Linked DNA regions of Astyanax mexicanus. The protein of the gene in region 2 binds, or shares a complex with, the protein of the main gene of each other region. Links are inferred from orthologs where the notes say so. Each region holds a gene or a part of one and is shown on either strand. Other genes may lie near its edges.

Region 1 (16,001 bases), on a different chromosome or scaffold from region 2:
ACATTTCAGAGTGACAAACATAAAAAAATTTCACACCACTGTATATAGATCTGATTTTTTTTATGTGTAAATGTATGGTGTTTGTTATTAGTGACATACATTATCACAGGTGTTTCCAACCTACGTCAGTGGCTGCCATAGGGACTGACTCTGACATCATTCTATAATTCATTAATACATTTCCTACAAACCCCGGGAGGCCTGTTTATAAATAGTCTTGTTTAAAGTGAAGCCTTTAATCACTAAACATTTTCAGTTTAAAACAGCTAATATGATAGACAATTTTACATGACACCACTTCAGCCATGTCTAATGCAAAGATAATGTGGGAGATATAAATTAAATATTAATACCAGATAAAAATTTAGAAATTGCAGTTACCCAATGTATAGAAATTGCAAACGTGATACTAAATAAAATATTACTACTACGACCACTGAATTATGAAAGCACTGCAATTATTTTTTTTTTTTTTTTTGGTCGAAACCAAACAAAAATAGGATTTTTTTACAAGTTTGTATCAATTTTTCTATATTTTCCACTGTTAAATAGATTAAATAGCATATATCTATTCGTATTGCTTTCAAACAAATACAAAATAACAAAGCAACAATTTAAATATTTGTATTAAACATTGAGCATTTTGTACTTTGTCATTTCAAAAGAATAAGTTCCTTTCAGTAAATTGACCAATATTCATAACATATCTATTTTAACTTGAATTTCACAGAAAATATAAATACTATTTCTTGCATATAAACATCTGAATAATCCAATAACACAATCAGCAAGTATACAGCACATACTCTCAGAGTGTGACCTTGGCATTCTCTCCACAGCCTCACTACCACATCATCTGTTCAACTACATTTCCCATGAGGCCTGGCTGCTCATCATATTTATGACCTGCAGCTCCGAACTCCAGTAATGTTCCTCCAGTACAGATTGTTTATCTCCATCACCGGGCTGAAGGTCTGAACTCCAGCTGTGGTTCTTTATCTTGATGAAAATCTCTACTCTCAGACTTTATCAGAAACCCCTCTCTTATATACAGTTAGAGACGGACGTTCAGCTGATTATGCACAGTGTGTGTGTAAACTGTTCTGTAGTTCTTCAGCAGGGGTCAGACTCTGAACTCAGAACTGTTTGTGTTTAGATACTTTTGGATGGTGGTCATACTCTTAGCCACTGATTGTATACATGATATAATGATATATACAACCAATAAAATCATTGGTGGATGAGCAGAACCAATGATGACATATAGATGTTATATATATGTACATACAGTATGTATTCATTTATATCTATACATATGATACAGAAATTTGGGGATGAGCTGGAGGGGCGCTGAACCACTGACTGTACAGCATATAGAAAATATAGGCTAAATCATATATACAGCCATTGTGGGTGGAGCTAAGCCACTAAATGCATACATGATATATATGATGTATACACTCATAGGGAGCTAAACAGCTGAGTGTGCTGTAGATCAAACAAATGATCTGTACAGTCTGTATGAACAGGAGATAAACTGCTGACTGTATATATGATATACAGGGTCATTACAGTCACTGGGGGAGTAGCTACACTGCAAACTGCACGTACGTTTTATATATTCTATATGTTCTATATATTTATATAAAGTCACTGGACAGATCTGAACCCACAGACGGTATTTGTAAAAAATGATCTGTACAGTCTATAACGGGAGGTCATAACCCACTGACTGTATGTAGGTAGAAGACTCTGAACTGCAGACCATGTATAGAATATATACCTATGTATATGTAATTTATATATAACATATATTTAGTTAACTTGTTGCATCTCCACACTTTCTGAAGGCTGCAGAAAAAAGCAGAAGTACGGAAACATACGCATCGAGGCAGCAGAAGGGTTTTGTTTACTGCCAGTTGCCCTCGGCACCCCAGCCCATCTCCTCTCATTAATGGATATTTAACAAGCCTAATAAAAGATGACGTTGCCCCTGGCAGCAGCGGGGGGGCGTTAGTTATTCGGGTCCAAACATCTGCCACCTCAAACCGGCCAAACAGGTCCAGCCTGGGCCGGCCGGCACCGAGAACTATTCTCAGAGGAGAGTTTCACACCTGATGCTTTATCAGACAACACACTCATCATCCTCAAATCTCAGCAAATCTCCCAGCAACCCCCAGAAAACACTGAACTCTAATTAACAACCAGGCTCAGCATGACTTACACCCACCACATGCAAAATATACAGTGTATATATATTTTTCATTAGTCAACACTATAGAAATAAAAATAGTAGTTAGCATTCAGCTTGTATAACAATACCATATTTATTGCACTATAAGGCACACTTTATATCCTTTAATTTTCCCCAAGATCATCCTGACTGGTTGTAAAGAGCAGTAAAGCAACTCCACTATACTTAATTTTACAGGACTTTCAGTTTAGTTCTCCAGCAGCATTAGCATTAGCTGCTAACCACGCTAAGCATTAGCTCTTTTACCGTTCAGAGGTGAGTATTATCAGCCTGTAGCTTGCATTTTACTGTGTTAAAACAAGCTACGTGGAATGCACCACTAGCTAATATAGCCCTGGATTACCGGAACACTCAGGGTTTCTCAGTGTAGCTCTGTTGGGTGAAATTAGCCGCTAACCTAATGCTAATGCTAATGCTGCTGCACCCAGCCTTAGTGGAAATCTGTGAACTGCTGAACTAGAAACGAAACACTGCGACATGTATTAATAGTGCACCTTATGATCTAGTTTACCTTATAGTGCAAAATATATGGTATATATGGGTAGTATAGTATATGAATCTTGAGTATAGTATCTTGGGTAGAACTCTCTCAAACTATCCACTGTATATTCAACATGGCACCTCATGGCAAAGAACTCTGAGAATGTCAGAAACAGAATTGTTGCTCTCCACCTTAACTGTCAAACAGCACAGTACCCAAGTACATACAGTCTTTCATTAGGGTGGATATATTATTATTATTATTATTATTATTATTATTATTATTATTATATATTAATAACCCACTAAACATAGGTATTGTGATATTGTGAACGGTGAAGCTAAATGCTAAATAGGAGTTTTTACAGTGGTTAATATGCTCTGATGCACATGATTAACTTGGCTTTGGCCCGATCACCATGGTGTGGTTTAGCGGGCATCACTGTGCTTATTCTAAGTGCTAATGTATTCCAGAATTGGGTCTCTGCTGAAGGGCATAAGCTCAAAGTTCCAGCTGAGTGGTACCGACCCTCTGGACTAGCAGACCGGCCACTGACCACCAGCCATGAACAGATAGGGACCAATGACCACTGGACTGGCAGCTTGCCAGATCAGCTCAACAGACTCAAACACAGGCTTTGGCATACCATAACCATGATACATTGATCAGCCATAAGATTAAAACCACTTCCAGTTTAACAAAATAGCATTGATCCTGTAACAGTTTTGCATATATTAGGCAGCGAGTGAATAGTAAGTTCTTAAAGTTGACATGTTAAAGCAGAAAAAAAGCTTAAGAATCTGCAAGACTTTAACCAGAAACAAACTAATCTTCCAGTTCAGAACATAAAGAAGGTGTTGTTAACGGTATGCAGTGGTCAATACTAGCGGTGCATATTTCTCCCTCTACAGCCCATAATATCATTATACCATTTACGCAATCAGTGAGAGCACAAGCTGAACTCTAGTGATCTCCAATCCCTCAAGAACCATCATTCAACAATATCTGATAAAACCACATTAACCAGAGATTACTTTACTAACCTTTATCATTAACAAGCTCTACAATACAGAGTTACTATATTCACTAATACCACTCACAACTTTACTGTACAGAACACAAGCTCTACAATACAGAGATACTATATTCACTAATACCACTCACAACTTTACTGTACAGAATACAAGCTCTACAATACAGAGTTACTATATTCACTAATACCACTCACAACTTTACTGTACAGAATACAAGCTCTACAATACAGAGTTACTATATTCACTAACACCACTCACAACTTTACTGTACAGAACACAAGCTCTACAATACAGTTACTATATTCACTAATACCACTCACAACTTTACTGTACAGAACACAAGCTCTACAATACAGAGTTACTATATTCACTAATACCACTCACAACTTTACTGTACAGAACACAAGCTCTACAATACAGAGTTACTATATTCACTCATACCACTCACAACTTTACTGTACAGAACACAAGCTCTACAATACAGAGTTACTATATTCACTAATACCACTCACAACTTTACTGTACAGAACACAAGCTCTACAATACAGAGTTACTATATTCACTAATACCACTCACAACTTTACTGTACAGAACACAAGCTCTACAATACAGAGTTACTATATTCACTAATACCACTCACAACTTTACTGTACAGAACACAAGCTCTACAATACAGAGTTACTATATTCACTAATACCACTCACAACTTTACTATACAGAACACAAGCTCTACAATACAGAGTTACTATATTCACTAATACCACTCACAGCTTTACTGTACAGAACAGAAGCTCTACAATACAGAGTTACTATATTCACTAATACCACTCACAACTTTACTGTACAGAACACAAGCTCTACAATACAGAGTTATCTCCACCCAACAGAGCCTCAACCCACTACAGAGACCCTCCACTCACCATAGCTTCTTTACCTAGGCTTTTCATAGGCTTTACCCTCCAGAGTCTCCACCCACTCTTCAGAGCCTCCATCTGCCAAAGCCCCTACCCAATTTACAGAACATCCACCAACCTGAGCATCCACCTACTCTATAGAGGCTTTAATCTCCAGAGCCTCCACCCACTCTCAAGAGCCTCTATCCAATACACAGAGCCTCCTTCCACCGGAACCTCTACACGCCAGAGCCTCCATCTATAACAGAGAACCCATAAACCAGAGCCATCACCTGCTCTACAGAGCCTCCATTCACTACACAGAGCCTGCACCCACTACAGAGAGCATACAATCAACAGAGCTTCTACCTATTCTCTACCTTCTAAAGCTTACACCAGCACTACAAAGCATCTACACGCCAGAGCCTTCACCTGCTCTGCAGAGCCTCCACCTGCCTGAGCATCCACCCATCAGAGCCTCTACCCATCAAACCCACAACTTGCTCTACAATGCCTCCACCTGCCTGAGCCTGCCCCTAACTGAGCCCCTATTGATCAGAGCCTTAATCCACCATAGCCTCCACCCTCTCTACAGAAGCTCTACCTTCTAGAGCCTGCATCTACTCTAAAGAGCCTCCATCCCTACTCAATTTACAGAGCGTTCACCAACCTGAGCATTCCCCTACTCTATAGAGGCTTTCTCCTCCAGAGCCTCCACCCACTCTTCAGTGCCTCCACCTGTTTTACATACTGGGGGAACCCTCAGCACTCGGAGAACAGGTGGGATGTGATGGGTTACAGGTGTAAAGTGGAGGCAGGATGGATGAGCCGTGTCTTCAGAAGCTCAGGAAACCTTTGATCTTGTTTGCTTGTTTGAGATGTGTTCTGTTCACTTATATATACCTCAAATTCACATTGTTAACATGCATTTATATAACACCACTCATCCGACTTTAGAGATCACACCTCCTTTTTTTTAGTTTGTGTGCAATCCTCTCACACCTTTATATAGTATATATACACACATATACATACCCATACAGTATATATAAATATAAAGTATATACAAAGCAGTTCCAGTTCCAGTTCCACAGTTTAATATACAGCAGAAGAAGGAAACCCTGCTCAGCTCACACTGGCATCTCCATCGATACCACCAAGCTGCCATATATCTGAGTGTGCATCTGTGTGTGTGTGTGTGTGTGTGTGTGTGTGTGTGTGTGTGTGTGTGTGTGTGTGTGCCAGGGATGCCACCAATCAGTGTAAATGCCAAGGGTGTGTTGTGTCTGATCCAGTGCATCTCTGTCCAACCCAAAGCAGCAGAAACAGAACCAAGCTCGCTCGCCTACCTTCAGCTGCAGAGACGCTGTTGATCGCCCCGACCCGAAGGAGGATGTGGAGAGAGAGAGGGATGGAGGAGAGCAAGAGAGGGACGCAGAAGGAGGAGCCTTACCAGGGAGTGGTGGAGCGAGAGAAAGAGAGAGAGAGAGAGAGAGAGAGAGAGAGAGAGAGAGAGAGAGAGAGTAAGAGAGAGAGAGAGAGAAAGAGAGAGAGGCTGACGTTATTATCTGTGAAACCCACAGGGATGCTTGTGCCTGACAATGTGATCCCACTGATAGAGAGAGAGAGAAAGAGAGAGAGAAAAGAGAGAGTAAGAAAATTATTAAAAATCAGAAAAGAGACAAAGAGACAAAGTAGTACAACAATAAAAGAGAGATAAATGAGAAGAAAATAAAATAAAAAATAAGGATTAAGAAAGTGGGAAAATGAAAAAAGGAGAAAATAATAAGAAAAAAGGAAACAGAGACAGACAAGGACTGAGGCAAGAAGTGAAAGAAAAAGAAATTAAGAGAAAAAAAGAAATGAAAGAAAAAAAAAATATGAAATGAAAGAAGTAGTGAGAAATAAATAAGAGACAATATAGAAATGAGAGTGACCAATTGAAAAATTAGTGTAAAATTAAAGAGAGTCAGAACTGAAAGATTGGAGAGACAGGAATAAGAAATAAGAGAGAGAGAGAGAGAGTGATGAGAGAGAGAGAGAGAGAGAGAGAGAGAGTGATGAGAGGAGAGAAAAAGGAATGAAAGAAAAATTAAGGAGAAAGAAATTGTGTGAATGTTTGAAACAATGGGTAATGGGTAACAATAGAGAGTAAGAAAGAGATAGAGAGAAGATAAAAATGAGAACTAACATATTAAGAAAAATATGAAGAGAAACAGAGAAAGTAGGGAAAATAAAGAGAGATAAAGATAAAGAGAAAAAGAAGAGAGAGAGAGTTACTGTAATGAAGGGGATTTCTTGCCTGTTTAATTGTTAGCATCACTGCTCTCCCTCTCCCTCTCTGGCTCTCTCTCCCTGTTGGAATCCCCCCAATCAGAAGGACCAGGATGAAGTCCTTGGTTCTGATTGGATGCTCAGTCGTGATGAGAACGGCAACGGTTTTCACAGCTGAGATCAGCCCTCAGAGTGTGGAAATTAACACACACACACACATACACTCGGAGCACTGGGACAATGACGAGCAAGGACATCCCCTCGAGAGACATACAGTAAGTGTGTGTGTGTTAAAGGGGAACTTCACCAAATTTAAAATTCTCCACATAGTTTTATAATAACAAAGTGAACATAGGGTTTGTTATGGAACGCTTGGTTCTAGATAATCATCCCCTGTTAGAACAGTTCACTATAATGGTGAATGGAAGCAGACAGATGAAGCTCTAAAACAGCTCCTAACAGCAACAAATGGCAGAAAATAGTCAGTAAAAAAAACAGTATTCGCTCAGATGATGCACATTTTACCAAAAACATTCCATATAAAACTAAGAACAAGCCAAAGTTATAGAAAAGAAACTATTGTCATGTCCTGTGATTTTTAACATGTTCAATGCAAGCTAAAAAAACATTGCTCTGGCACGTGGGATATGTGGACCTCAATATTAAACCTTACTCCAACTCCCATAATTCACCTGCACCCACTATCAGACCACACTCCAACTCCCATAATTCACCTGCACCCACTATCAGACCTCACTCCAACTCCCATAATTCACCTGCACCCACTATCAGACCACACTCCAACTCCCATAATTCACCTGCTCCCACTATCAGACCTCACTCCAACTCCCATAATTCACCTGCTCCCACTATCAGACCTCACTCCAACTCCCATAATTCACCTGCACCCACTATCAGACCTCACTACAAATCCCATAATTCACCTGCACCCACTATCAGACCTCACTACAAATCCCATAATTCACCTGCACCCACTATCAGACCTCACTCTAACTGCCATAATTCACCTGCACCCACTATCAGACCTCACTCCAACTCCCATAATTAATCAGCACCCAATATCAGACCTCACTCCAACTCCCATAATTCACCTGCACCCACTATCAGACCTCACTCCAACTCCCATAATTCACCTGCACCCACTATCAGACCTCATTCCAACTCCCATAATTCACCTGCACCCACTATCAGACCTCACTCCAACTCCCATAATTCACCTGCACTTGCTATCAGACCTCACTCCAACTCCCATAATTCACCTGCACTTGCTATAAGACCTCACAACAGGTGTTTATATGCATTCCCACTTCACAATCTAGTTCCTGTACAAATGACTGTCCCGTTACTTTTGGCATGTGTTCTATGATTTCTAAACTGCTAAAAAGCTTATTTCTACAGTAATTCACTGTTTTTGATGCAGCATGCGTATTGACATATTCAGCCTACAGCTGTTTAGTTCCACCCACTCACACTGAAGACAAGCATAGTGTTTTGGTTCCAGCAAAAGTCACCAAAAGTTTCACAGACTGCTGACACAAATGTGCAAATGCACACACACAGCTTGTTTAGCCTCTGTCATTGAAACTTGTTGCCAATACAATAGGACTCTCTGGAGATAAATGTTTAAATATGAAGATTTTGGCACCATGCTTAATATCAGGTGTAGTTCAGAGGGGTGGAGTTCCATTCAGTACTTTTGGCCATATATTGTAAAATAAAATAGGGGTATGGTGTAATGTACAAGCCCTGGCCTGCCACTTCACACACACACACAGAGACACACACACAATCTCTGAGAGATTGTGATTTCCCAGGAGAGCTCCATCAATAGCAGCCATGTGATTGTGTGTGTGTGTGTGTGTGTGTTCTGGCAAGGGCATGTACTAATTAAAGAGATGAATTCAGAGGCTAAGTTGACCTCTAGTCTGGAAGGAGGATTCTAACGGACCCGCTATTATTCCGACCCGAGTTCATTAATACTGAACCAGCCTGCAGACAGTCCAAACACACACACACACACACACCAGTCATGCATAATATTATGACTGCCTGATGTGTTAGCGTGTGTTGTCTGGGTATGAGTGGATCAGATACAGCAGTGCTGCTAGAGGTTTTAAACAATGTGTTAAATCACTCACTCTTTTACACACTCCTACCTACAGCTGCTTCACCTTTTAGATAAAATAAAGACACAGACAGAAGTTTGTGTTGCTCATTCTCAAGTTTTTCATCAGTTCCCACAGGATGCTACCCACACAATGCCACCCACAGGACATTGCCCACAGTACACAGTACTGCTGTATTTTTGTTCCATTTGTGTCAGCACAACACACACTAACACCTTATGCATCAGGGTCCTGAGCATTAGGGAACAGGGTGGTTAATAATTGACAAGAGGTTAATAATAAGGTATGGACAGAAATAGATACAGGACTACAGTCTGTAATTATGGTGGCCAGTAGGTGTTTCCAATAACTTGGCCATATAGTAAGTGGAAGAACAATGTAACGTAGGTGTCTTGCAATAAAGTGACCATGTAGTGAGTGAAGACACTAGGTTGAGTAGGTGTTTCCAGTAAAATGGCCAGTAAGTGTAAGCAGGAATGTGAAGGTTGTGAAGCGAGGCCTGTATCCAGATAACAGCACAGCCGAGAGTTTCTAATGTATTGAACGTTAACTTTGGGGTGTCTGTAATGTGGCATTACCACACTGCCAAGCGGGTTCATTGGGTATAAACACACTCCAGTGTTTGCGCAGTGTTTTGAATGTTTTCTTGCAGTGTGTGTGTGTGTGTGTGTGTGTGTGTTTTGAGTTCCTGAGGACAGTCGTTGCAGACGCTGTGCAGCAAATGATCCTTTTCACAGCCGGAGCTGCCAACCAAGTACCAACTCGCTGGCAGTAAATGTAATTTGATGAGAGCAATGACTTTCTCCACTGCCACACACACACACACACACACCTGAACCTGCAGACCCTGCAGTTTTATGCATAATAAACAGAAGCTGCATGCTGCCGTGTGCCCGCTGAGGTGCCACCCTTCTGGAATCAGTTCCATAAGCTGACTTTGCGCATATGTCCACCCTTATAGAGGGTATACTATAGAGGGTGCCATACTGATAAATAATATACAGTATATAATATACACTGAACTGTCTGATAAGGTCGTCTGCTCTTTGATCTTCCCTTGACTCATCAGATGTTACATTTCACACATTTGATGTAACTTTGATAAGAAGTTCAAAGACAAAACTTCAAAGGGACACTTCTAAGCTTTCATGACAAAGCTAACAGTAGGAAGACTCATCTTAAAGGCATAGTTACCCAGGATATTCAGAGATGTTCAGTGATGTTAGCCAATAAGAAGTCAGTGTTAGTGATGTCAACCGATCAGTACTCATTATCAGTTATGTCAGCCAATCATTTCTCAGTATCAGTGATGTCAGCACATCAGTTCTTAGTATAAGTGATGTCAATCAATCAGAGCTCAGTATCAGTGATATGAAGCAGTTCACTGTATCAGTGATGTCAGCCAATCAGTTCTCTTTATCAATGATGTCAGCCAATCAGTTCTTAGTATCAGTAATGTCAGACAATCAGTACCTAGTATCAGTGAAATCAGCCAATCAGATCTCAGTATCAGTGATGTCAGCCAATCAGCACCCAGTATTAGTGATATCAGCCAATGGGTTCTCAGAGTTATTGATGTCAGCCAATCAGTTCTTAGTATCAGCAATATCAGCCAACCAGTTCTCAGTATCAGTGATTTGAGCCAATCAGCACTCAGTATTAGTGATGTCAGCCAATCAGCACTCAGTATTAGTGATGTCAGCCAATGGGTTCTCAAAGTTAGTGATGTCAGCCAATCAGCACTCAGTATTAGCGATGTCAGACAATCAGTACATAGTATCAGTGAAATCATCCAATCAGATCTCAGTATCAGTAATGTAATCCATTCAGTAATCGATATCACTGATGTGAGCCAATCAGCGCTCAGTATCAGTGATGTCAGCCAATGGGTTCTTAGTTTTAATGATGCCAGCCAATCAGTACTCACTGCAAGTGATATGATCCAGAATGATCTAGTATTCAGTGTCAGTGATGTGAGCCAATCAGCGTTCAGTATCAGGGATGTCAGCGAATCAGTACTCATTATCAGTGATGTCAGTCAATCAAAGCTCAGTATTAAGGTTTTCAGCAAATCAGTGAACAGTTCTCAGTACCAGTGATGTGAGCCAATCAGCGCTCAGTATCAGTGATATCAGCGAATCAGTACTCAGTATCAGTGACGCAGTCAATCAAAGCTCAGTATTAAGGATGTCAGCCAATCAGTGAACAGTTCTCAGTATCAGTGATGTCAGCCAATCAATGACCAGTTCTCAGTATCAGTGATGTCAGCCAATCAGTGACCAGTTCTTAGTATCAGTGATGTCAGCCAATCAGAACTCAGTATCAGTGATGTTAGTCAATTAAAGCTCAGTATTTATGATGTCAACCAATCAGTGGCCAGTTCTCAGCATCAGTGACGTCAGCCAATTGGTAACCAGTTCTTAGTATCAGTGATCTCAGTGAATCAGTGACCAGTTCTCAGTATCAGTGATGTCAGTCAATCAAATCTCAGTATTAATGATGTCAGCAAATCAGTACTTAGTGTCAGTAATATCAGCCAATCAGTACTCAGTAAAAAGTGTCATAATATAACCCCTAATTTAAGTAATTGCAATCAATCACCAGCCATTCTACTCACAGCCAATTAACATTCAGTGTTAATGTTAGCCAATCAGCACGTGATAATGCCAATCTGTTTCCAAGCAATCAGCACTCATTTGTAGTAATGCCAGCATTTACCATCCAGTAGTAATGCCAGCCAATCGGTGCTGAGTAGTAATGTCAACAAATCAGCATTGAGTAATAGTAAAACCATTCAGAACTCAGTATCAATGATGACAACAAGTCAGGAATTATTAACAATAATGCCAACCACTTAACTCTTAGTTAACAGTAGAGCACTAATGTCAGCCAATCAGTTCTCAGTAGCAGTAATGCCAATCAATTCACATTTAGTAGTCAATCAGCATTCAGTAACAGTGACGTCAGCCAGTCAGCACGCAGTAGTGATGCCAGCCAATCAACTCTCAGCCATGGAAATGCCAATCAATTCTGTAATAATGCCAGCTAATCAGCATGCATTAGTATCTAGTACTCATTATCATTGACATCAGCAAATCAAGACTTAGTTTCAAGGATGTCAGCCAATCAGCATTCAGTAACAGTATCTCCAGTCACTGTGGTCTTGCTGTTGGTATAATGTATGGAACAGGAAGGTGTAAGACTGGGTCTGGTCATTTATTCCACCATGCTAACGGCTATGCTAATAGCCTTCCACTGCTTGTTAGCTGCATTAGCCTCGTATCTCCAGGGCTAAAGCTAAATAAGTTGAACTCCAGACTGTGAGCACTTTCTGCCGGACAGTCTGCGGTCAGTACAGGTCAGTCTACAGTGCCGCTGCTGAGCTGAGAGCAGCCCAAATCTCTGAGCAGTGTCCAGTTTACAGCCTGAGGCCACGTTCAGCTTTACTGCACAGGGTGTGAGTGTGTTTATATCACTGTGTTTTGTGACTGCAGCATTTTAAAACCAGCCCTGCATTATTTTAGCTTCAATCACTTCCTGTAGCTGGATTACCTTAGGTCTACCCATAGACACTCATCAGGAGCTCTAATTGGATGCTGTCAGAGGACCATAAGCATAATGTAGTATTATGAAAACAGTGTAATACTCCCCTAGCCCACACCTGGCATTAGGCATGGTGTCAATATTTCTATGTCTATTTATCTGCTCCAGAGAGTCCTACTCTATTGGCAATAAATTTCCACAAGTAGTAGACAAGCTGTATGTGTGCATTTGCCCATCTGTGTCAGCAATGGATGAAGCTCATGCAACCCACACCTAATACAGGTGTGAAAGGTGATGTGAACTATAGGGTGGGTCACAGATGCAAAATTAAACCAATCAAACATAGTGATCTCGGTCCAGATCAGTTGATCCAGGGTCTGAACATTTTTTTGGCAATTCTGATTTGAATCAGATCAACTACAGGAAGTTGAGTCAGGCTATCATCACCCATTAAACAATAGAAGAAAAAAAGAATAAGTGTTGTGCCAAAATCTGTCTTCTCTTCTCAGCACAACATTTGGTAAGGCAACTTGACAAACTGAAAACATGCAACAAACCAATCAGTGTTGATTATATGAAGACTCCACCCATGTAGGTAATGATAACAGGATGTAAAAATATGTTTCTGCTGGGTGAAACTGAACAAAACTAAACAAATTAAATACAGAACAAGATACAATGTAGCAAAAGCATGTAGCTTAGTTTAGGGCTTAGATTAACAGAGTTAGAGGCCTGCCAGTCTAATAGACTTGTTTATATGGTTCCTGACACTGTAACACTCTCTGATATCTAGAACATTATCTACATATCTATAAGGATTAAAGCATGAATGCAACCTTCAGGATGCCTACAAATACACTAACCAAGCTAACGATTTTTGTATAATAGAAAGTTAAAATTAACTTTCTAAGAATGTTAAATTTTTCAAGTTTTCTGGATGTTTTTATTCAACATTTTCAAATGTTCTGTTAACGTCATTTGCAATCAATGTTTTAATTTTTAGTTTTGTGAATGTGAACTTAATGTTTTCATAATGTAAGTACTTGTCAAGCTGAGAAACATTCTAATTGTTATATTGCAAACCATTATTGTGTCACATGTTTTCAGAATGTTCCTAAAACATTATTATTGTAGCGTTACAGAGTAACCTTCCTAAAACCCTTTTAAAATGTTGCCAAACATTCTCATAACGTTCTCTGTAAGCTGGGAAAACACTTTAGACCTGAGAAAGAGATTCAGTAGAGATGAAAGTGTGTGTGTGTGTGTGTCCTCTGAGGACAGAAGGTGTCCCAGCAGTTTTGGCTGGCTGGTTGTGTAGCTGCAGGTTGGGCTGAGCTGGCGGTCGGCGGGGGCACCAGCTGCACTCTCTCCACTGCCCTTCAAACCCTGCCATCCCTCTGACTCACAGCGCTGGCCAGCGTCCAGAACAGTATAAAAAACTGCTGCTCCAGGATTGGCCCGAAGCTCGACCCGACCTGAACCCAACTGGACAAACAGTGACAGGATGACGGGGCTCAGAAACAAGACCAAACACTCTAAAAGAGATTCTCTCAGAACAGAAACAGTATTTAACCTTTACTTTCTACAACATTCCAACTGCTCTCAAAACATGACGGTTAATATATAATATACACACATCAGCCAGAACATTAAAATCACCTGTATCAAATTACAAAATTCCACCTTGTGTCAATCATGTTGACCAACTTACCCAACCGCTCTATGACCAAGCTGCTCTATCAACATCATCAACCTTGCCCGTTTAGCCATCCAGTAAAATCAACTGGTCTAAAAGCATAACCAACTTGACCAAGCCAGTCAACCAGCGTCACCAATCTCAACATATTAGTCATCCAGTAACACTGCACTATCCAACCATTATGACCAACTTAACCAACAAGTATGACCTAAGTGAAAGATTTAATGTAATTATAAGACGGTTTCTTGTAAAACAACAGTAATAGTTGTTAATCATAGTAAATACAATAACTGTGTTTTATGATTTATATCTGTTGTAAATGTGACAGTACTTTTACTTTTACAGACATATTCTTGGCGCCACCTGCTGCCGGAAAATACAGAGCTACAGAGTAGCTGGTCCTCCAGCATGGCCATTCTTACAAAGTTAGCCATCCAGCAGAACAAGCTAGTCAACCATCCCGACCAAGCTATTTGAGCAACATGACCACTCTGGTCCACCAATATAACCAGCTTAATGACCAAAAAGTCCATCAAACTCACCTGATAATTTATGTCATAGTGGTCAAGTGCTTGTTTAGCAGTATTGGGTATGATTACATATGGATGACCAGCGTATCTCTCAGCCTGTCCAGAAATGCATGTGTAAAGTTTGTCCTTTAGTTACGTCTCAAAGATTGAATTCCACTTCCAGACTCTAGGGGTAGTGTCTGGATGACACTAAAAGCAACTATCATAACTTTATAAACATACAAAAATGTTTTACAACAAAAAAGAGATTCTGTATAATTTCATAACACAATATATTTAGATATTTATATATATCACTTTAACCAGAAAAAAAGAGATGCTTAATAATGGCCACTACTGAAAATGCCTTCCCTACTTTGTGCTTCTGCTCACTAGCCACTTCATTAGAAACACATACCAGTTATTGGAAACATCCAGTTCCTAATTGTAGCCAGGTGGTGAATTGAGAATACACATTTAAAATGTGTGTCTGTAACTTTAAGAAACACAATCAGAAGTGTTGTCACCCTGAGAGAGGAAAGGGAGGAGCAGTGAATGGTGGTGCTCCATTTTAGGATTCATCCAGAGCCATCCTAATGAAATAAGAGAAGCTGTTTGTCCAAGTTCTCTTGATGAAATGCTCAAATCTTGTTGAGTAAAGCTGAGTAAATCGAGTGCCACTACCAAATACTGTGCTGTGTTCTAAGTTAGGGTTTTTACAGTGTATTCATTTTATTTTTGTTATTTTGAGTACAATTGAGTACAAGCTCTGATAAAAGTCTATAAATCTGTACACTGCAGTTGCAGTAAGTCAAAGATAGGTGGTGCAGTGTTGTTGTGCGGTGTTTATTTCTGCTCAGCAAGTGCTGATTGTTTTTATTTTGCTTTTATTTCATATTTGCTTTTATTTCATATACATTTTTATATTTCATAAAAATCAGAATAAAATACCCGAAAAACTTATTTTGTCATTTGGTGTGCGTCCTTTCCCCGGTGACAAAAATTGGTACCAGGAGTGGGGTTTCTGATAGTTTGGTTAGGTTTCTTAGGTAATGCATTAGAACACAGTACAGTTGTTTGGTAGTGGTGAAGTGTCGCAGGTTCGAGAGGGAGAGAGTGGAACCAGGACCTGGTGGTGGTGATAGAGGACCTAGAGACCAGACGTCG
Region 2 (15,231 bases):
CTTTCAAATGAGAATCCCTATTTAGATCAATGTGTGGTCCAGAATTAACATCAGTCCCTAGAAATCTGGGAAACCAATATATTATTATTATTCATAATAACACATATTATGACCTTGTTATCCACTAGCCTCAAAGCTTAAAAAGCTGTGATTTATTCAATATAATAAAGAGTATTATGTACCTAATTATATCCCTAACCTTTCCAACAATAAAAAAGCGACTAATCACCAGTTTTGCCAGGTTTCTAATAGATGTTGGAGCTCTGCTGTGACAATTTGTCTGCATTCAGTGACAAAAGTGGTCAATTAGTGAGGTTATGATCATCCCCAACTTCCTCAACCAATGCCAATCATCATTCCAGAACACAGTTTTACTTTAGGGACATACAAAGATAAAGTATTTTGGTGTGTGCGTACACTGTGAACCTCTACCTCACTCTACCTTAATTACCTTTAGCAGAATGTCCTATTCTTTTGGCAGTACTTAACTACAGGGACTAGACTGGGTGCAGCAACCTAAAGCAGCTAAAACACTCAATTATTAGGGGTGTCTACTAATATTTGGACACATGTATTTGTTTGCTATTCCTCTAAAATAATGTATTTATTCCGAGCAGTCTAATTGAAACACAATGAGGCAATGTAGTACTTTCTGAAAACAAGATACCAAAGGATGCTCCATCTCAGTGTTTCCGTTTCCCTGGGCCCTCCCAGCAGACAGGACTTGTGTGTTCAGTGCTGATTCTATAGACTGCTGGATAAACACAGCCTAAAGGCTCGGATACACAAGGCTTTCTCCACAGCCTTTCATTTAGCAAACAGCCCAGGCTGAAACGTAGCAAAAGCCTCAGAGGGAAGGAACTGCCATCTTGTTAGCAGGTAGCACTAAACGCTACTGAACTTTCCCGTAGCTAGTTTGTTAACAGATCTGCTTAGGGTGACATATATGCATCTGTTTCTCTAAACCAGTTTTCACCTCCTCACAATTGTTTTCTGAGCCTGTGCAGAACGAGGACATTTCTGCAGTGTTCTCGTTTACAGGGACAGAACACACTCTGCCACTGACGCAGGAGACGTAAGGCACAGAGGCCACAGAGAAGCTCAATTCATCCACTGTATTTCATAGAGACCTTGAGTAAATGGCAGGGTGGAAATGGAAACCGGGTGAAAATGAGTGTGCTGTGAGAGGTGACGAGGTGAAGGAGGAGAACAGAGGAAGGAAAGGAAAGGCATGAAGAAAAGAGAGAACAAAGGTAGGATATTATAGAACAGAATAGAAAGAGGTAAATGAAAAAAACAATGAAAGAAAGCAAAAGCAAAAGAGAACCAACAGAATAAAACAGGAAAGAAAGGGTTGTGCAGATAACAAGACTAAAGAAAAAGGGAACAGGACAGGAAAATTAAAGAGAAGATAAGAGAAGAGGAAGGAGAAAAAGAGGGAAGACATGTGTGAAGAGAGAATTGAACATAACAGAAGAAAATAAAATATAAAAGGAGTGAAAAAAGATAACTGGTCAAGAGAGTAGAGGAAAGTAGAGATGAGAACAGAAAATTAGAGCAGAGAAAAGAAGATTTGAATAGAGAACATTAAGAAATAAAACAACGTAGAAAAAAAAGAAAATGGAAAAAAAGAGACCCTTGATAATTAAGAGAAGAGAATTAAGAGAAGATGAGAATTACGAAAAGAGAAGAGAAGATGGAGAGATACAAAAAATAAAAGAGATAAGAAATAAGAGGATATTATTTATAAGAAGAGAAGTGAAGAGAAGGAAATAAATGAGAAGAGAAGAGAAGAGAAGAGAAGAGAGGAGAAAAGAAGAAAAGGACATAATTGAAGAGAAGAGAAGGACATAAATGAGAAGAGAAGAGAAGGACATAATTGAAGAGAAGAGAAGGACATATTTGAGAACAGAAAAGAGGGACATAAGAGAAGAGAAGAGAAGAGAAGAGAAGAGAAGAAAAGATACATAATTGAAGAGAAGAGAAGAGATGAGGACATAATTGAAGAGAAGAAAAGGACATATTTGAGAACAGAAAAGAAGGACATAAGAGAAGAGAAGAGAAGAGAAGAGAAGAGAAGAGAAGAGAAGATTAGCCATTGTAACAAATCTGTGCAGTGCGCTGTCACCATGGACACACTGCGCTCCATCAGCTGTGCTCACCCATGATCCACACCGCATCCATTTTAGCCCCCGCCACCACCATACACAAGCACATGCTCAGAGCCCTTATCCTCTGCTAACAGCTCTTATTAATATGCTGAGCATCTCTGAGCTATACTGTATGGGCTGGGATTATGTAAGGCATTTAGTCTTCATAGTGAGAGAATAGATACACATTTAAAACACACCTCCAGGGACCCTTTAACCCTGGATCTGTGGAACACTGACAACCAGTTTTCCTGTCTGTTTCTGCTCTAGGTCTAATGAATCTTCTCATGTCTAATTTATATCTGGGGAGCTTTGGTAAGTCTAAACATATTTATAAAGATTTGGAATTCCTTTAAGCATGATTGTGAACATGTCATAACCCTAAATAACTAATCAAAATCTGAGATTCTGGGGGAAAATGATCTAAGAGTTTAAATTATATAATTTTTCTGAAATTGCACAAAACAGTTATGTTTTATTTTAACATGTTTCATTTTTAACATGTATTTCTGACTATTCACTCAACTATTAATTTGCATGCTACTTTATACAGTGACATGCCAAAACTAGTATGGTATCCCATCACTTTTGCCATGTCCAATGGAATCTGAAGAATTGCATTGAATGTGAATGCGATGTCTGACTGGAGTCACAAAATAACACCTCACAACTGCAGGTGGGGATGTTCTCAACCTATCCCCTAAGATAACACTTCATGATCAATTTACCTACTAACCCATGACTTCCGGCACATCTGTGAACTAGCAATGTGCTGTTAACATCCAAATAAAGTAATATAAACCTAAGACCTAAAAACACTTGACAGACAACAAGAACTAAATTCATTCATACAGACTTAAAATAAGGTCTGCTTTTATACACTAGGGGGGCAGTGGATATTGCCCATGGGAACAGAAGTATTTCCCCTGCAGAAGAGCTTCCTTCCACTTCTCCACTGCAGGGATTATGAAAGAGAGATTATGATGCTGCTACACCCAGCCTTCCTTGACAGCCATACTGCAGTTCCTGGACGTAAAATTATTCCTGATACCTTTAAACTGAAGCTAACCAGACTATACTTTATATATAACACTGCCAAATCACATGCTTTAGCATCTCTGAAATAACTTGGTGGGAATGTGGACAAAATATTTTTTTAAACAATAATGTACATTAATATATCAAGATATAATTACAGGCAATGACTGCAAAACAAATAAACAGTAGTGGCAATGGCAATACTGAAGCCACCACAGGTCTAACGCCTCTGCTAGCTGGTTGTACCCATCCCCATATGCTTTATTGAAAAAACAGCCACTATTCCATCCAACTGTTCATCTCTTAACAGTCTCTCCAGTGTCAGATACTTCCAACAATTACTTTTCCTTGTGATAATATGAGCACATTTCTATATGACCGGGAGAAACGGAAGGGCCTGAATTGCACTCTTTCTGTTCATTGCATGGAGTAGCTGAGAGGTAGTGGAACTTCAATGATCTGCACTTTAAACCTGTGTTCACGCTGGCAGGTGACAAGTCACTTGTGTCGCCCCACGTTTGTCTCTTTTGGGTGTGTTTGAGGCTGTTGCAAGTGGGCGGGTATCTGCATGGCCGGTTAGAATGCTAGCAATCTACCTTTCGACCCATACACTACTTTCTTCCAAGCTTCTGTATTTGTGGAAAAATGCATCTCTGAGCATCTTGAATATCAGGATTATCCCTGGATACGGCCAAGACACATAAATATGCAAGTGTAAACACACCCAAGATGCATTTAAAACATACAAATATACAAATTCGATCACTCAAACCACTTAAGACATTTGAGCCAAGTTATAGAAGTGTATCCACAAACATATCTTCAAGACGCATTCAACAACAGTAACACCAGCAATAATTGATGCACAATTTCCATTGCACATAGCAATCAGATTTTAATTAAATTAACTGGAAGCTTATGTGACTGCCAAGTGTTAAAGCATATATTTTAAATCTTATCAGGATACAATCCATATGCTAGTCACATGAAGTGAATAGGTGTAACATGGTCATTGATTCCAAATGTTCCTAACTTTATTTTAAAGACCAATATTGAACTGGCTTGCTCTCCTAGTAAGACATATACCACAAGCTTATTGATAAAGTGGCATGCAATGGTGGTAAAATCAAACCACAATATGACTTACATTGCCCTTTTAGTAGATAATCAATTTTTATTAAATTACAGCAGAATCAGACCTGTAATTCTTTTATAATGTTACTGTTTCTTGTTCTAGCTGCGTGGCCTATGTGGCCCATTCAATAGATTTTATCCTCCACCTCCACTGCACACACACTCTCACCTCTCCAAACGCAGTGGCAAGTCATGACTTGGTCAGTACAGAAATAGCTCCACCAATGGGTGGCTGGAAGCAAGATCATGTGACATGTGGACCCCAGCCGGGAAGACCAATGAACTCATTAAAGCGAATTCTACCTGCGAGAACCTTGCCTTCTACCATAATTCCTTGCTTCATTATCGTTTCTCCGAGGGGTCCTATCAAGGTTACAAAGCCAAGAGCACAGCAGCACAGAGAAAGTACACAACAAGCCTTGAATAAGAGCTTGGGCTAAAAATACATCCCAAAATGAGACTCAGAGGAGCAGAAAAGCAAAGACAGGTAGATGAACTCATGATGAACTTACAGAGAACAGCTATCAGGAGAGCCCTTTAAAATCTGTCGCTAAAAGCCTATTAGATCAATGTTTGGAACAAGTGTTCAGTTTAAACACCTGTAATCTGATTCAGAATTTGCTTTTGGGAATAAGTGTTCACTTAGAAACTGGCTTAGGAACACAGAAAAAACATTAATTTTATGATTAGACACGAGAATATATAATCCAACTATACACACACTTTATGAAAAAAACATGCATAGTAGGCCTGTCAAATGAATTACATTACTTTATCATTTAAAAATATATAATATCATAAAATGACAATAATATTCGTTACTGCAATTATTTCTATTTAAAAAATGATTATCAAGACAGGCCTAATTCATAGCCTTATATATTGTGGGGCGGTGGAATTTTCAACCGTAGCTTATCATCACGATGACAGGCTATTCATCAAACCCACCAGTCCATTACTCCCACACAGAATTTTTTTCAATCTGACAAAGCAAAAACCCAAAAGAGCATCACCTACTCCATTTACGAATTGTGGCCATATTCAGGCAAAGCACTTTATATCATATTTTTTTCAGTTTCAAGGTTCTACTGTTCAACAATTCTGTGCTGGGTCCTTTATATCCCTCTATCCCATGCCTAGCATTTTTGTTTAATGTGACAAAGCATAAACTCAAAAAACATCACCTACTCACTTTTGACATATTTTTCAAGGTTCAAGGTTTCAAAGTCCTAAGATTTCCACAGTTCTATGCACTGTATATTTGTTTAATCAGACTGGTTTCAAGGTTCTAATTTTTCACAGCTCAAAGCTGGTGGTATTTATACCCCTCTTTACCCCTCAATCCCATGACTAGCATTTTTGGTCAATCTGACATGTAAAAAAAATGTAAAAAAAAAAAAAAAAAAAGCATCTCCATCTCCATCCACAACTCTGCTCTGCAAAAAAATCCAGCACAAGACCAGGTGGTCATCCAAAAAGAAGATATCCTATGCTAGTAGGCTAGCTTATTAACAAGCTCTTGACCAGCATAGGGTATTTTTTAATTTCTAGATGACCAATTGTTTTTATGCTGGACTGTTTAGCAGTGAAATCATGACTGTACCCTGGCAAACCTTTTCAAGTCATGTCTTTCACTTTCAAGGTTGATAGAAATGGAAAATACAGCATTTTGTCTGAGAAACCCCCATCCAGTCTGGTTTAATTGGATGACTGGACAATGCAAAAACCCAAAAGCATCACCTACTACATTAACAAATGATGACTTTCTGCGGGCAAACCTCTTTATGACATATTTTTCTGTTTCAGGGTTCTACTGTTCCACAATTCCATGTTGGTGGCCTATATTCCCCTCTATACCGTTATAGCATTTTTGGTCAATCTCACAAATGTAAAAACCTCAAAAGCATCACCTTCTCCATCCACAACCCTGCTCTACTAAAAATCCATCTCAAGACCAAGTGGTCATCCTCCACAAGGAACATACCCTATGCTGATTAACTGGTTCTTGACCAGCATAGAATATGTTTTTTTTTTGGATGACCATGCTGCTCATAAAAACCCTCAAACCATGAATTTCTCCAGACAAACGCCTTTATGTCATATTTTTCTGTTTTAGGGTTCCACTGGTTCATAATTCTATGTTGGGGGCCTTTATGGTATTTTTGTTCAATCTGAAAAACGTAAAAACCCCAAATGCATCACCCTCTCCATCCACAACTTTGCTCTGCAAAAAATAAATAAATCTAGCTCAAAACCAGGTGGTCATCCACAAAGAACATAAATTAGCTCTTGACCAGCATAGGGAATGATCTTTTTCTGGATGGCCAGCTTTTCTTAAACAAGGTTAGCAGGGATTGTTTAGCAGGGAAATCATGCCTGTGTCCAAGCAAACCTCTTTATGCCACGGCTTTCAGTTTAAAGGTTAATATATATTGATGTAACAGAGCAAAAATGTCCAAAATCATCATCTATTCACACTTGCTAGCTCATTAACTAGCATTTGGTCTGAGAAACCCCCCATCCAGTCTGGTTATAACCACAGGTTGCCATCCTTTAGCCTACGTTTGCTGCAAGGTCATTTTGATGCCTAACATCACAACAGGCGTATTATCGACCCATTTTCTCAGTGTATTCACCAAACAGCCTTAATAATCAACCCACACATGTATAAATATGGCTAGCTACCTCTCTACCTCATTAATTTCGCAGTGAGACCCTTCTTAAGCTAGCTAACCTCACCTCACTCTCTAGGATCGGCAGACTGGAAGGTGAAGGGGCGAGGCTAAGGCTAACGGTGCTCCTCACTGAACGCTCGATGAAATAACCGATTAATTAGGAGGAGATTCCGTTTTTTCATCACTTTGCGTCAGGAAACCGTGTACTCTCGGCTGATGGATAGGATACGCTGGGTTTTAATCGGTTTTAAGGCGAAAACTGCGCATTTTTCGCTCAGAAATCAACGGAGAGCTGCTGAGAGACCAACCGTCATCTCTCAGAAATTTGAATGGCTGAGATGCTGCACGCGACGCGTGACTGCACTGATTTTTTAATATATATATATATTTTTTTATTTTATTATTTTTATACGTACATTATAGGTTAAAACATAGTAAAACCTTCAAATCTGAAGTGCGAAAATATTAATAATATTTTATAAATTATTTCGAGACGTGTAACATGATTTGGACAGGTGTGAAAATATGCTAATTATGTTTTTTTTAAGTATAATTTTTAGTATTTTACTTTTATATTGTTTTATTTCTGCATTTTATAGGTCATCATGCTAGTATAAATTATTATATTAAACAATGCCCATGAGTAAAAAGATTTTATCAGCTACCTTAATTTTTTTAAATATCTTTGTTTTTTTTTTGTTTAATAATGAACATAAGAGGTAATAAATAAACGTTAACATGCACATAAATATGTATACATTTTTCAAAAAATATATATAACGTTATTCTCATTATATCTACCATGACATCTTTTTTGACAGGTGTGAAAATGAGTATGTGCTAAAAATGAAATTATTATTTTTTATATATTTATATTTTTACAACGCACCAGGTTAGCTAAAATAAAATGCATTCACCAAGCTGTTCCACTAAATCAGCTAAAATACAACGTTACTCATAATAAAAAATGATTAATCATTTCCACTTACCTTTATTATAGCTAATTGGCTGCTCGTGGTAACTGTTAGATCCCCTCAATCGTCGTCAATCTCCCTGTTTGGGTTGTTTTAACAGCAAAAAAAAAAATAATATACACGCTATTTTAAATGTTTTTCGTGATGATGAGGGTGATCTGTCTGGCTGCTTCAGTGTATCCCTAGAAGAGGAGAGCTGTGTGTGTGTGTATGTATATGTGTGTGTGTATGGAGGGTGCTGCCCTACTACACCGCGCACTTCTTGGAGTATCTCCCCCCGCATCTCTCACGCAGGACTGTTCCATTCACATGGAGGGGGTGCTCATAAATCATATATTCGCTTAATGTACATTTTGTAATGAATTATACAAAACAAATATGAGTAATTGAACTTAAATAAGCATATATTTGTATATATTTAAAGTGTGGTTCCTAAATGGATCAAGAAAATTATATTTCTTTCCTGTACATAGGGGCTGTCATACCCGCTGGGAAGGTACCAACAGCTATATTTCTCATATAAATGAAGGTCGTATTCTGCACATATGTACCAAGTAAGGACGTAAAAAGGGGGGAGTGGGAGTGCACGTGCGCACACTCGTGCCCATATTTCAGTGGTGGAGACCATCGGAGACCACTGGGGAATTTTTTTCGTCACGCTTTCATTTTTTTTTTTTTTTTATGATGATGATGATGAGGATGATGATGCTGATGATGATGATGCACAAATAAGCGCCCATCCAAATTTAACAGCCATTCAGTAACATGTTTTTCATAATTGAATGAAAATATGTGAACATTTGAACATGTATATATATATATATATATATATATATATATATATATATATATATATATATATATATATATATTTATATGTACACATGCATTGTGTCACAGCTGCATTTCAGCTGCACTGTTGAAATGGCAGCTGAAATCAATATATCTAGCATGGATGTGGTAGAGATGGATCAAGTATCACTAGGGTGGGTGCAGGTTTTGGGGGGTAGAGAGTTATATGTCAATATGGGACACAGGTTGCCTTGTACAACAAAGCAAGTCATTTATTTAATTTCTCATTAAAATGAAGGCGAGTTAGGTTTTTTGTTTTATATTTTTGTCTTCGAATAATCTAGCCAAACAATTGAGTAATTTCTGTAATAATAAAAAAGATGTTCAATTTGATTTTCTAAGCTTGGTCTAATAAAAAAAAAAAAATTTTTTGTATTTATGCAAGAAAATACAGCTTACAAAGCTAAATTGTTCCATTTGGCTTTTGTTTCAATCACCCCAGCTAACAATTCTTTGGTAGAACAACATCTGAAAATTGTAGTTAGTGTTTTTAGAAGATTCATTCTGTTAAGTTTTCTGGATGTACCCTATCTAACATTCTAACATTGCTGCAACATTTCTTGTGTCAGTCTTTTAATTTTTTGTTTTACTGTAATGTTAGTCTAGCTGGGAACATTATGTGAGAAACGTTTTAATTACACTGTGATGCAAACCATTATTATACTACACATTTTTAGATCATTCTGGTACATTATTTCTGTAAGGTTACAGGCTAATCTTTCTGGTACCTTTTCAAAACATTGCCAAATGATATTTTTTTTCGTTTTCTGATAGCTGTGACCCTATCGTCTTTTGGACATTTGGAATGCATCAATTGTTTTTGGACATCCCTTCTAATGATTGTCTTCAGAATTGTCTGCATTTGAAAAAAAAATCACAATCATTACTACCCACTGCACTGTGCACTGTGGGTGGTAATGTCTTCAAGGACGTATTAACGGTACATGCGACACATGGTAATGTAGATTGAGGAATTATAAGTGTCCTCACAACTTTGAAAATGAAATATACATGTAATGCATCTGTCGCCATGCCATGAGCACATTGACCCTTGATCAGCCTCACTCACGAGATAACACCACACAACTTATAAGTGCTATACAAGCAATTTTATGCAATTGTGCTAGTTTAACTGTCAGTTGAATTAAAGCAATGGCAACAAGCTAAGCATCACTGATATAGAGTGATTTCAGGTATTGCAGGTAATTCTTTAACAGTACAGTTTCTGTTTATTCATTCTTCCTTTAAATAAAACTGTATTTTTGTCTGAAGATAAAAAATGAAGGTTTGCTTGCACAGTTGTAATTCTAGCTGAAATGCATCCAGCTTGTATTGAACAGTGGTGGTTTCAGGTGTTATGAAGCCTGGGTTCATAGAAGACAGTGTGTGGGGTAATATGGGTAAACGGGCTATAGGCTCTACAGTATATGACAAAGCCATTTCCTTTTGCCCATTTGGACAGAATTCACTGTTATATCAGTACTGTGTATGAGTTTAAGGCACCAGTGAAAATGAGATGACATTTCAACATGTCTGAAATGCACTACACACCATAAAACCAGACCTTTAGGACGTGTGATAGCAAACCATTGTTTATGGCACTGATCATGGAGAATCCACACACACACACACATTCTGCTTTAAACATGAACATACTGCTTGCAAAAACAGAAACCACGTTATGTTTGTATTTCCTATTCTACTAACCAAGTTAAATGAGGTGTGAGGTTTTTACATTACCTTTTGCATTGAATTAAACGTTATGAACTGGTTTTTACAAGCATATTATTTTTAAATTGACCAAAAGACAAGTAATAAGAGGTTTTTAAATGTTTAATAATATTTTTTGTCATGTAGGTTAAAGTGTGTTTCATGCTGACTTATTAGACACTGTCCTGTATGACCCCATGTCCCTAATACATTTACATTTATAAAATTATTTGGCCAATGTAGTGTTAGGAGTCTTGCCCAAGGACTCTTATTGGTGTATCAGAGCATTTAGTCAACCAGACTGGGAACTGAACCCCTGTCTCCCACATGACGTGGTAGCTCATAATCCACTTATCCACCAGTTATCCACTGCACCACACCAACCACCAACCACCACACAGTATATGAACAAAGGTATTGGGACGTATGCTCATTCATTTAATTCGTTTCTATTGAAATCAAGCGTATTAAATCGTTTATCTTGGGGTAACTGTTTCTACTGTCCAGAGAAGGCTTTCTAACAGTTTTTGGAACATAACTGTGAGGATTTGATTGTATTCAGTGATGAGAACTTGAAAAGATATGAAAAGAGAATATTAGATAATCACCACCCCATATCATCCATAAATCCTCAACTTATCCTATTCAAAATATTGGCTGGCCTTCATTCCAGAGAACACAGTTCCACTCAGTTCCCCACCCCACCCCCCACCACCACCACCACCTTTAACTAGTCCACCATTGGTTGGCATTAGACATGGTGCTAGTAGGTTAATGCTTATTATCTGCTCCTTTCAGAGAATACTATTCTATTGGCTGCGTGTAGCTGAACGCTGCAATCCTTACAAGGGGTGTCCACAAACATGTGGACACATAGTGTAGCATTCACCTTTTCAATGGCTCTTCTGCAATAAAAGACAGAGGATCCCCCATTGATATCAGTAGCTGTTTGTTGCTAAGGGAGCCGAGCACAGTCTTTATTAAGGCACACAGTAAAGGCACAGCAGGTGAGACCTGTGGCCAGCGCTGGATATTTCAGCTGCAGTGGCTCTGATCCGACTCGCCGGGGTAATTCAGTGCTTAGCAACAGGCTGTGTGATGATGTGACCGGATTGTCAAATAAGGATTGCCTTATGCATGTTGCTGCTACACGACACAGCTGAGGTGTGAATGTGGTGACGCTTGTCGCTTTTTAGGGAAACTCACAAACGATTCACCTATACTGAGTTATTACATCACAACTCATGAGTCATGTCAGTAAACCACGGGTAATCTAGTTAAAATGCACAGATGCAAATATACAGACATAGCCTTTTAGCTGTGCATCTGTTAAGCTTACATACTCTGCAAGAAACCGATTTTTTTGCTCAGATCAGATTTGGCTATCTTGACGGTTCACATTCACAAATGTAAGTGATCTGTATCTGTGTGTAATGTTAATAAATCTGTCCCTGAAACGTCTCATGTGCACAACTCGTAGCTTTATAAAGGTGCAATGAATGTGTTAGCAGCTCATATGTGGAGCATATTTTAATCGAATGTAGAGAAAACTGCTGGTCTGAAGTACATGTTCAGGTCGAGGAGGTGAAAAAAGTCTTTTGCTGTTTTTGCAGCTATAGCTGCACAGCTGCACCAAGAGATGTGTTGTGGGTACGAGAGAGAAGCACTTAGCGCATGCGTAAAAGCAAAAAGACGCATGAATTCTGATTTGACCGTTCACATTCATGTCGCATGTCCATAGATCGGATACGTATCTGATTTAGGACCACATATGAAAGTGACTCAAATCTGATTTGAAAAAATCTGATTTGGCACGTTCACACAGCCATGAAAAAATCTAATCTGAGCCACACTGAGCAAAAAATCTGATTTGAGTCACTTCAATATATTTTTCTTTGGAATTTGGGAGAAATGTTGTCCGTATAATTTGTTTATTTTACTTAAACATATACCTATAAATTGCAGTTTTTCTAGAGCTGTATATATAATAAATATATAGTACATATACAGTATCTCCAACAACTGTATCTCAAATGAGTCTTGGTTCTTCCAAGAGAGTTTTTCCTTGCCACTGTTGTCACCACAATAATTGGCATCTCTGTGTTGCTGCTAATAAGCGGTGTGGACATGTTTTTCTCTGTAAAGCTGCTTTGTGACAACTACTGTTGTAAATAGCGCTATATGTAAAATTGAATTGAATTTAAACAACCTTAAAAAGCAACACCTTAACCACAGGACCTTTAAGACTGAATCTGTTTAATCCACAGGGACAAAATGTCCACATAAAAAGTGGATCAAAGTAATATTACTAAATAAGATTAAACTGAATAAAATCAGGGCCAGCAATCAAAGGTCAGCCAGGTGCAGTTCCAGGGAAGAACAGTAGGTGGTGTGAGAAGCTAAATAAAGAGAGAGTGATTGATTCAGTAATAGAACTGCCTCCACACTGAGCTATATCTCTTCTCTACAGGCCACTGTCTTTATTCTGCTGCTCTGCTTCAGTCCATTACTTCACAACAAGTAGGAGGAGTAATAGCCTCCTCAGCGACTGAAGTCCTGCCCAGCTGTATCCTCACAACACAGCAGCACAGGGTTAAAGTTCAACAGGCCTTCAGCAGCCTGTTAAACCTGTTACTTCAAAGAAATCAGGTTAACTGGAAGTTTCGAGGAGGAAAGGCCAAAAATAGCCAGCCAAAAATATTACTGCAATCACATAATGACTCAAGAACAAAGTAATAGGAGCTATTAAAACCAAGCGAGGAGGAGGAAAAGAGGACCGAGTTCCCTGTAGAGCTTCCATTAAAATTATTATACCCAGTATGTCTCAGCACAGGAACCGTCTTTATCATTTCACGCTCTTCTTCTTCCTTTTTTTAGTCTAAAATTAAAGTCTAAAGCTCCAAAATTAGATGTGTGAGCAACAGCTGAGGCAGTGAACACAGCAGAGTTAAGCAGAAGTAAATGTGAAAGACTAAAGTGAAGTATGCAAAGTACAGTCTAGAATCTTAGAGTTAGTTTTACTATTTAGACTGAAAAAGTCTAAATAGTCTTGTCCCATGACTTGTGACATGTCCCATGGAAGCTAAAGGACACTGCACTGACCTATAAGGTATGTGTTTGTGGTTTCCTGCATTGAATGTTGATGTGATTTCTGCCAAAATTGTTTGTTTGTTTACATGGACAACTTTTTGCCAGAAGCCACCAGTCATGATCACTTCCATCAGCCGCCCTGTGTACGCAGGATTGCCTAGTATAATACGTCAGTTGGCCCAAGCCACCCAATCCACATGTGACAACACTCTGGTTGCCAAGCATAATATGTCAGTTAGCCTGTGATACTTTTGCCAACACTCCTGTTACTGAGTATAAAATGTTGCATGTTCCAACACCCCGATTACTGAGCATAATATGGGATTCAATCTGAGTTGCATGTTTCAACACTCTGGTTGCTGAGTACAGTATGGGAATTGGTCAGAGTATCATGTTCCAACACTCTGGTTGCTGGGTATAATATGTCAATTAGCCCGAGCCTTATGTTCGAACACTCTGGTTGCTGACTATGGTATGGGAACTGCCCAAAGGCTCATATTCCAACACCCCGGTTACTGAGTATAATATGGGATTCAGCCTGATTTACATGTTCCAACAACCCTCATGCTCCAACACTCTGGTTGCCAAGTACAGTATGGGAATCGGCCCGAGTCTCATGTTCCATCACTCCGGTTGCCAAGTATAATATATCAGTTGGCCGAGCTGCATGTTCCAACACTGAGTATAGTACGGGAATCGGCCTGAGTCTCATGTTCCAACACTCTGGTTGCCAAGTACAGTATGGGAATTGGCCCAAGTCTCATTTTCCAACTGTCCGGTTGCCGAGGACAATATGTCAGTTGGCCCGAACTGCGTCTTCCAACACTCCGGTTGCTGATTATAGTATGGGAATCGGCCCAAGTTTCATATTCCAATACTCCGGTTGCTGAGTATAGTATGTCACTAGGCCTGAGCTGCATGTTTCAACACTCTGGTTGCCAAGTATTGTATAGGAAACGGCCAAAGTCTTAAGTTCCAGCACTCCAGTTGTGGAGTATGTCAGCTGGCCCTAGCCTCAGGTTAACAAGTACAACATGGAAATTGGCCCAATTCTCATGTTCCATCTCTCAGGTTGCCGAGTACAGTATGGAAATCGACCCGAGTCTCATATTCCAACACTCCAGTTGTGGAGTATGTCAGCTGGCCCTAGCCTCATGTTCCAACACACTGGTTGCCAAGTACAATATAGGAATTGGCCCAAGTCTTAGGTTCCAACACACTGGTTGCCAAATAGATTATGGGAATTGGCCCAAGCCCCATGTTCCAACACTCCGGTTGCCAAGTACAGTATGGGAACTGGCCCAAGGCTCATGTTTCAACACTCCAGTTGCCGAGTATAATGTCAGTTTGCCAAAGCTGCAGATGTCAACTCTCTAGTTGTAGTGTATAAAGCACATTCAGACCAATTCCACATGGCGTAAAAGTCTACATAAAGTATTTTATTGAGGTTTTGGGCCCCCAGAACAGAACAGCCACACTTCCCCCTTATTATCGAAGGGTCAAGCACTTAGACCTGGACTGCTCTCTTGGTAGATGCTACACATGAACTCATCAGTTGCTTGTGGAGAAGAAAGGTGACCAGATCAGTTTTACCTCCTCCCTCTAGAG

What was found.
Region 1: the proteins of sv2a (region 2) and syt1a are in contact, whole or in part, in a crystal structure (PDB 4V11), measured with the Homo sapiens proteins. The link is inferred for Astyanax mexicanus from reciprocal best matches to the Homo sapiens genes SV2A and SYT1. Residues at the interface, in NP_001315603.1 of Homo sapiens: Asp82, Thr84, Glu85, Gly86, His87, Asp88; in NP_001129277.1 of Homo sapiens: Thr291, Lys314, Lys326, Lys327, Lys328, Glu342, Ser343, Phe344, Ser345.

The regions. Positions count from the first base shown.
Region 1 is NC_064409.1:25,633,740-25,649,740, forward strand, and holds the start of syt1a (synaptotagmin-1a), read right to left. Parts: upstream 6,081-16,001; 5' UTR 6,012-6,080; intron 1-6,011. UniProt on the Homo sapiens protein: Calcium sensor that participates in triggering neurotransmitter release at the synapse. May have a regulatory role in the membrane interactions during trafficking of synaptic vesicles at the active zone of the synapse.
Region 2 is NC_064408.1:115,430,697-115,445,927, reverse strand, and holds the start of sv2a (synaptic vesicle glycoprotein 2A), read right to left. Parts: upstream 8,221-15,231; 5' UTR 7,987-8,220; intron 7,318-7,986; exon of another isoform or gene 7,062-7,317; intron 1-7,061. UniProt on the Homo sapiens protein: Plays a role in the control of regulated secretion in neural and endocrine cells, enhancing selectively low-frequency neurotransmission.